Tribolium castaneum: one gene and its partner. The protein of the gene in region 1 interacts with the protein of each later gene in a pairwise test. Links are inferred from orthologs where the notes say so. Each region holds a gene or a part of one and is shown on either strand. Other genes may lie near its edges.

Region 1 (4,350 bases):
GGAAAAAATTACCGTAGCAGTCGTCGTTTATTATAAGTGTGTCCCCATTTCGGACACAGATTGAAGCAAACATGTTGTGAATATGGGCCATTTGTGGGATTCACACCGAACATCAACACTGGAAAAAATGAGCGACTTGTAGCTATACATCAACGAACTGAAAACGTTCACTTTCTATAAAACGTGACAGTATCGTACACGTTTCTGTGCATTTTCTGCATGTGGTACTGCATCATGGTATTTGGCCTTGGTACTTTCTTATTGCATGAGAACCGTTAGTTTGTGATAACATGTACAGTTAGATATAACGGTGTTGCACCACACCTTTGTTATGAATGGGGTCTTGGTCAAGGGGGTTCGGCTCGAGTACCCTTGATCCAGATGGAAAGTTTTACAGACAAAGCTTTCGTAATTCGGAAATCGAGACCAAAAGAACCACAGTTCATTCATTCATTATTTGAAGCCTCAGCGTAATTACTTTATAAAAATGTGATTGTTTTGTAAGAATTTTTTTGTCCACTTTTCACCACGATTTTTTTTATTTTATCGTGAACGGTAAAATGGCATTTTATCCACTAATTATTTTATCGTAAAACGAAATTTTATGGTCTAGAGAAATATGGTCTACAAGCATGGTTGTTTTTTTGTTTTTGACATTTTTTATTGTTCTATTTTTTGATTTATGATTGTCAATTAAAATAGTAATTCGATCGAAATAATGGATTGTACTCGACGATAAAATTTACTATTATCTTCTCAAACACACTCACAGATAAAATAAAATTTTATCGTTTTGTATAATAAATAACTGCTATATATTAGCTGTTTCAAAACTATAAAAACGCTAACCTCGCCATTTTACTCAATTGTTTTCTTAAATAAGATTGATAAAATTACAAAAAAGCATAAAATTTTTGCTTTTTTCAATAATTGTTTCATTTGTAGGGTTTGTCTTGATTAGTGTTTTATATTTCGGTGATTTTTGTTGTGTATTTTTTTTTGGAATTTGAAGCCTTTTTGCATTATTTTGACGGATCTGTCACTTTGACAACATTCACAATTTAAATTAAGCGGCATATTACGTTCAAATTTCATAGGTGACTTGATGAGCAACCATTTTTGAACACATTGTATAAGTATATAAGAATAAATTATACAATGTGTTTTTTAATGATTCTCATCTAGTTAACTTTGAAATTTACGTGTAAAAAAAATTCTGCCACTCTAATCAATTGAATCCTCTGTCAATAAATGTCAAATTTGTCAATTGTGAAATTCAATTAATTTCTTTAAAAAATTTCGTTAAAATGCAACTAAATTGTTACACTGAGCAAGAAAACACTTCTATTATCGATTATCGAAGATTGTTTTCGATGGAGAACGGTAATATTCGATGTCTAAATGCTTATCATTAGTTCTATGAAGCGGAATTTTCTGATTTAACATGAGAAATTCATAGACGACTAGATTGTATTAGCTGTATTTTTTTGAAGTGCATGAATAATTTATAACAGCTAATTTTGAGAAAAATGCGATGTTGGCGTTTTTATAGTTGTGAAACAGCTAATAGTTTCTAAAAAAAATAATTAATTTTTTTCTTGTCACTGGGAAGAAAATTAATAAGCTTTTGTTTAAAATTAGTTCCTAAACACAATGTGTTGCACGTGTCGATTTTGTGAAACTTTAATTGAATATTATTATTGAAGTTGCGTATTTGGGGAGAAACAACGGTTTAAACAAATTAATTATTTCCTAATAAAGTGAATGCATGTTAACGTCAAATGTTATATTAGGGCACGTTTACAGTGAGTAGATTGTTTGTTAAAGAGTAACGTGCTTCGTAAATCGATTTTGTTTGTGGTGGTGCGATAATTATATCTTGAAATTAGTTTTATATTTTTTCTTTTACACCTTGTTTGGGAGATATTCTATTACAATGGTATTTTCCAGGTTTAGAAAAATGTCAAATGCAGATGATATCTGTCAACACCGTCGACGATATTATTTTCGGTGTGGTTAATGTCATTTTACTACGATTTAATTTTATCACAAATAATTGTCAACAAATGATTAAAATAAAAAAACACTGATTTTAATTTCATCAAATGCGAAACTTGTTTTGTAACAAAATTCAAACGGCAGATCAAAAAGAAATTGTTTCGTGATCTTGCTTTTCCAGATAATTGTTTGTGGTATTGAGAGTATCGTGTTTTATTAATCTCGTGGCAAAGCTCGTGACCGGAAGAAGCCGAAAAAGGAGATTGAAAATTTTCTTTGTCAAAATGCAGGACATTATTTCATAATGAGCATCTGGTTTTGTATGGCTTTTTCGACGTCATAAATGCAAATCCAATAATTTCAAGCGACACGTGCACATCGATATCCATTATGTTATGTCAGTAATAATAATTGAATTTAACAAAAAAGTATTTCTGATGTGATAATAATTAGTTACGCAACGCTACAAGGAGTGCATCTAACAGGCTATCGAATTTCCAATTTCTGCAAACTACATCAATAACATCAAACTTACCCAAAAATTCTAAAAAAAATCTAAGTAATTTTATTTGTGTTATTTATACAACTAGAGACGATGTGATACACCCAAAAAAACACAAATCAGGTAAATTAATTAAGTTAAAACCGACACAAAACGATGAGCGTATGAGATGATCCATGTTACAAGACTGATTAGAAAGAAGGGTCAACCGATCTTGCGGTTGACGAACATCTGGACGCACGTGAAACGACAACGTGTCTCGTTTACGTTAATAACGCAATGAATCGGAGACGTTTAAAGACGATTTGACGACTGGTAAACATGTGCGAGGTGGACTCATGTCGGGGGTGGCGCAAGCGCCACGAAAAACCGCCCCCAGCGCAATTTAAAGTGATTATTAGATATTTGAAAAATTTCTAGTTAAATACGATAAATAAAAATAAACATTCGCATGCCAAATTTCTTAAAAATTGGTTAAATATTTATCAAGATATAAAAATAAACGTATTCCTTGGGGGCTTTTTTTAAAGAGCAGTAGTAATAAATCGAAAACAATTTTTTTTAATAACAAATACGTAGGCATCTGTAGACACCCTGTATTTTTACTGTATCTTGAGCACAATCAAGAATTTTTTCAGGATTTTTTTTAATGTTCATTATAAATCTTATCTTATAATAAATGTTAATTAACTATTTAAATAATATTACATAAGCCGCGACAAAAAATTCTATTATTTGTTATGTTTTATGCTCGGTCTTATGTCATTCTAACACAAATGAATCAAATAATGTATATTTGTGCAAAAACTGACGTTAGTTTAAAAAATAGTTCATTAAAAAAAAACAAATATTCTAACAAACAATTTTGGGGCTAACAACATTTTTTACGGTTTTTTTGCATAAAACTCATTTATTATTTTTTTTTTTTTTGAAAGACGGGAGAAGTTAACTTCGATTAATCAATATTTTATCTGTGATTTTATTATATTTGTTCTTCGACAATGTCATAATTTACGGTTTTTCTCATGTGTAAGAAAAACTCTGGCATTTTTCAGTACGAAACATCAGATTATTTTTAACAGATTTAAAGATTTTATCCTTTACTGAGTCTAATTCGAGGAATAAAATTTTGTATTCAACACGCTTTTGTGTAAATCGGTTCATTTATTTCACCTTGTGCATGATGAATACAAATCCGCTTGTGAAATAAAGCGTTCAATTTATATTCAAGTCATTAAATAAATAAATATTAATTTTATTGTTTATACCAACTACTATTAATATTTTTATTTTTAAGTTGATAATTTTAATAATTGTGATTCCCGTAGCACTAAAGTCGCAAGATTTTAATATTTATTATTCGATAACTACAACAACCTCGAATTTTTTTGACAGACCTTGAACCAAAAATTTTCGCCCACCACTAACACTTTGAAACTTGCAACAATTTTTTTACATATTATTTGCACAAAACATTAAGCATCTTGGAAAAACAAGGACAAGAAATAATCAAAATTTTTTTGTGGGGTGCTATGTAATGTCAAATTAAATTTTGTATTAAAACATATTATAATATTAACCTACCATTTTAATATTTTTTTCAACATTAGCTATAGTTTTATTTTTTCTGTTATTTTTGATAGGAGGACTTTTCCATAACATAATTAGTTTTGTTGGCAATTGCCATTTGGAGTTATCGAAGTCTGACTGTATAAGAAATCGTAGAAAAATTCTGGAAACATTCACATGCATAGAAAAAACAAAGTATTTAATAGCAAACCCCGACTTTTGTGCAGTGATTAGTTTTTGAGATGCCGGAAAAAAGACGACTCTTGTAATGGTTTCATTAA
Region 2 (4,296 bases), about 11 Mb from region 1:
ACCTGTAATAAGGGATTTGTGAGGGCGGAACAGCTTAATAACCACATGAATATACATTCTGGAATCAAACCGCATGTCTGTGCGATTTGTCTCAAAGGTAAACATTTATCTCAACAAACTAAACACTTAGTTTAAAAAGCGTTTTTTTACACAAGTAATTTTCTGAACTTCAGGTTTTAACCAAATATCAAATTTGAAAGACCACATGCGAACCCACAACGGTGAAAAGCCCTTTCTTTGTTCCACCTGTGGCAAGGGCTTCAACCAGTTGGGAAACCTTCGTCAACACACCATCCGCCACAGCGGCATTAAAGCCCACCTTTGCAGTACGTGTGGTAACGGTTTCGCCAGCAAAGGTGAACTTTCAGCCCATCTCCGAAAACACACCGGTATATCTCCAAATTCAACAATTATTTTGTACTTATTTATTATTTTAGGTGCGCGCCCTTTCGTGTGTCCAATCTGTAACCACGGCTTTACAACTTCAAGTTCGTTAACAAAACACAAACGAATCCATTCCGGGGAAAAACCGTACGAGTGTGACGTATGCAAAATGAAGTTTTCGCGGTCGGGGATTCTAGCCAGACATAAAAGGACGCACACGGGAGAGAAACCTTACGTTTGCAAGTTTTGTACAAAAGCATTTTCACAGTCGAATGATCTGACGTCACATTTGCGGATTCACACGGGGGAAAAACCGTACATTTGCGATGTATGTGGACAGGCATTTAGGCAGAGTTCTGCGCTTAAAACTCATAAGAAAACGCATCCTGGACGAGAGGTTATTGACACGAAAATTGGGGTCTTGGGGGTCATGCATACCCCCTTTTTAACGTAATAAAGTAAGGGGAAAAGTTATGTTTACCAATTAGTTTTTTATTTATTTTTTTAATATATCTACCACCTTGTAATTAATTAATTAATTAATTTTGCCAACATTTTATCAACTGTTATTTATTTTAAAGCGTTTTGCTCAAAATAAAATCCAGATTAGTTATTTGGTGTTTTATTATTATTGCCCTAAAAGACTTGGTCCAACTCTGGTATGACGTGCAGCAAAAACTTGGTAAACGTATTGAAAAAATAATTAACCCATTTGATTCAAATTGAAAACCAAAATCTTGGAGGTGGTACAAAAGATAACTACGTGTTATGGTGACATTTCGAATTTAAATCACGTGTAACAAAATTTGACGATTAAAATTAAAGAAACACGTAACACCTTTGGTTTAGATGACCCAAAAAAAATCTCCTAAAATTCTCAAAGTTACGTTAGGTTGTAGCCGCGTAATTCAAGGCATTAAAGCGTAAATTTAGCGCGAAAATCGGCGTCGAGGTGTGGACAAAGGACGATAATACTCTAGGGAAAGACAGCTCACGTTGTTGAAAGCGTGAGTAGTCGTCGGTTGCGTGCCCTCTTGCTATATTATATTCTTTCCTTTTCCTGCCTACTCTTTCCATCCGTCCCTGTCTCATTCTGCAATCTCACCAAAGGAAAATGTTGCGCCAGTAAAGTTTCAACCAGGCTTGCAGTAATATGAAATTATTTTGTTGCGCTTAATTATTGCGTTTTTTCGTGATTGCTACCAGTGCTTCGATCTTTTGAAAAATATTTACTGAAAATGTAACAACGTTTTGTAAGTACATTTTTATTTTAACCGAATTCCAGCATTTGGCTGTTTCCAGAAGTGCATTTTTTGAAGGGTAGTAGTACTCAACAAATATTTTTTTATTTTATTTAAACTTCAGCCTAAAGCTATTTGGACCTACCTTGAAGAAGTGCCAACACTGGCAACCAATGTTGCGAAAATTAGCTAACTAAGTGCTTTATTTCAATAATTAATATCTTTTACATGTAAATAAATATCGAATTAATCAATGCCACGTGAATTATGAATAATACAACAATTCTGTGACTTACCTTAATAGGCTTTCATGTGGATCTATGGTGCGATAAATAGTAAATATTAACAGGCTAAACTAAGCAATAAACATAATTAAAAAAAAGAACAAATCTAAAGCACTGTAAAAGGTCAAATTAACTGATTCGAGGCTTAAGCTCCTAAGGGACTTTGTGCACGAATTGTTTTAATTCTTTTGCGATCGCTATATACTGTTTCAAAATGCTGTGAATGTTGTATGTCCATTTTAAAACAGATTTTAAGTATAGATATATTCAAAGGGAAGAAAAAAAATGTTTTTATTCCCATTTTCACTCAGTATGAAAACTGGTTTGGAAACTCGCCAAAATAACTAATGTTACAAAACGAATTCAATTCATCATCAAGGCTGAATATTTATTTATTACTATCTGAAAAGTGACACCAAAATGTAATGGAAGAATAAAAAACTTGAGTAATCGAAATTCAATGTGATATTTTTTTCGATTAGATATTTCTGAGTAATTTGCGAACAAAATGCATCTTTTGAAACCTTCATCAACAAAAAAAAAAAGATTTAAGTAACTAATTGCTGAAAAGATGCGAACCGAAAAGTTTATCTTTTTTGACAATTTCGAAAGCTTATTAATTAAATTTTACTTGTTGGGCTCAAAGCATAATTGTTCGTTGGGTGAAGAAGAGAACACAAATGGTAAAACGCGACTTTTGCAAAAATAAATTCCCTCCCACAATGTTTTAAATTAGTTAATAAAGCTTGTATTTCTTGGCTTCCAATCCTAAAAATAACCTAATTGAAGGAAAAGTCGTTACTCATTGTATTAATTCGTATAGTTAAGTAAATACCTAATCAGCCGTTACATAAATAATGTTTACTTTTTCCGATACTCCTTTGCAGTGTACACGTTCAGAACAACGTGAATCCGTAACAGTGAGCGACTAAATTTGCCAATTTTATTTTTACAGTGTGTTTTATTGGTTACTGTATCACACGTTGCAAATAAATCTGGAGCAGAAAAATACGAGCAAAACCTTTTTTAGAGAATACATTCCCCAGATCTGGAATAAAATAAAGTCACCTGTTGCGCGAAAAATCTTCATTGAGCGAAAACGCAATACCTAGCTTTCAAAAAAATAGTAAGTGTGTTAAGGTGATCCTCTAATACCAAAGATTATGAGAGAAAGGTAATTGCTTGGTAGAGGACAGTTCTATAAATAAGTGATTCTTTTATTAGAAAGAACCCGAGCCTTTCTTTTGAAACATGTCATGAAAAGACGACGGAATTAAGTTCACATAACAACTTTGCGATTGGCAGTAGTTGGGGTCTGCACAGGAGAAGCAGCACGTTGTTGTACATGGGATTTTATGTTACGACATGAAGTAGTATTTAATTGCAAAGCGATTTTGTGTCAGGGGTTAAACCAAATTGAGTTGTTAATTACAAAAACCATGTTGTTAATTAAACACGTTTTGAATAAAATTTTAAATCTTGAAAGGATTTGAATCGAACCCGAGGAAATCAGACGTGATGTTCTCTTATCTCTGATTATGATTTGCATTTACATAACACAACGAAAAGTGAAAATTAATATTCTGAAGGACGTAGGACATTTCAAATTTTAAACTTAATCAAGGGAAATATATGTTATGCTGTTACAATCTGTATCGGTCATTAGAAGAAATGCATAATTTTACAAGCACCACAAAACACTCAATAAAGGTCGTATGTATTACAAAACTCTTATTACTATATGAAATGTTAAGATACAGCAGAGGAGTGAATTATAAAATTTGAAAGAAAAATAGTTGTGCTAATATACCAAATTGTTTTTTCATTTATTGTTTTACTATTGAATCATTAAATTTTTTTGTGGATCCAATATCCAATCCTTACCCCATTTCAAACAGAATCGATAGTTGTAGGAGAAACAAGAATCAAAGCCCCAGTAACTCAAATGAATCCTTAAAGGTTGAGCGCTCCAGACAATTACTTTTACTCATCTCAGTGTGTCAATTTACGCATTCGTAGTTCTTCTCCTTGGAACTAAAAGCTAATAGTTATTTTCGTAGAAAATTAGATTCCCTTTAAATAGTCGTTTAATAAGCTCCGGACAGTTGTTACATAATCTATAGTCAATTTGAACTAGCAATCTTGGTCTTCCGCGTTATATAAAACACTCGCTGCAACTTAAACCATTATGTAAGACACTGAATTACATGAACAAATTCGGAATTAGAACGAACGGTAAAAAAGTTTGCGGATTGCTTGTGACAAGGTCAGGTTGAGTAATATATAAAATTAAATCTAGAAATTGTCACATGCAATCAATAATGCATCCAATAACAAACTTTTTCGATGTATTTTTGGAACAATGCAACTGTAAACTTTATAACTGA

The links.
Region 2: the proteins of tim (region 1) and per interact in a two-hybrid assay, tested with the Drosophila melanogaster proteins (5 studies listed by BioGRID). The link is inferred for Tribolium castaneum from reciprocal best matches to the Drosophila melanogaster genes tim and per.

The regions. Positions count from the first base shown.
Region 1 is NC_087398.1:11,639,589-11,643,938, forward strand, and holds the start of tim (timeless), read right to left. Parts: upstream 2,817-4,350; 5' UTR 2,534-2,816; intron 119-2,533; 5' UTR 92-118; coding exon 13-91; intron 1-12. UniProt on the Drosophila melanogaster protein: Required for the production of circadian rhythms. The biological cycle depends on the rhythmic formation and nuclear localization of the TIM-PER complex. Light induces the degradation of TIM, which promotes elimination of PER.
Region 2 is NC_087398.1:316,257-320,552, forward strand, and holds the start of per (period), read left to right. Parts: upstream 1-1,432; 5' UTR 1,433-1,637; intron 1,638-4,296. Other genes in the region: zinc finger protein 569, read left to right, coding at 1-97, 174-389, 438-838. UniProt on the Drosophila melanogaster protein: Essential for biological clock functions. Determines the period length of circadian and ultradian rhythms; an increase in PER dosage leads to shortened circadian rhythms and a decrease leads to lengthened circadian rhythms.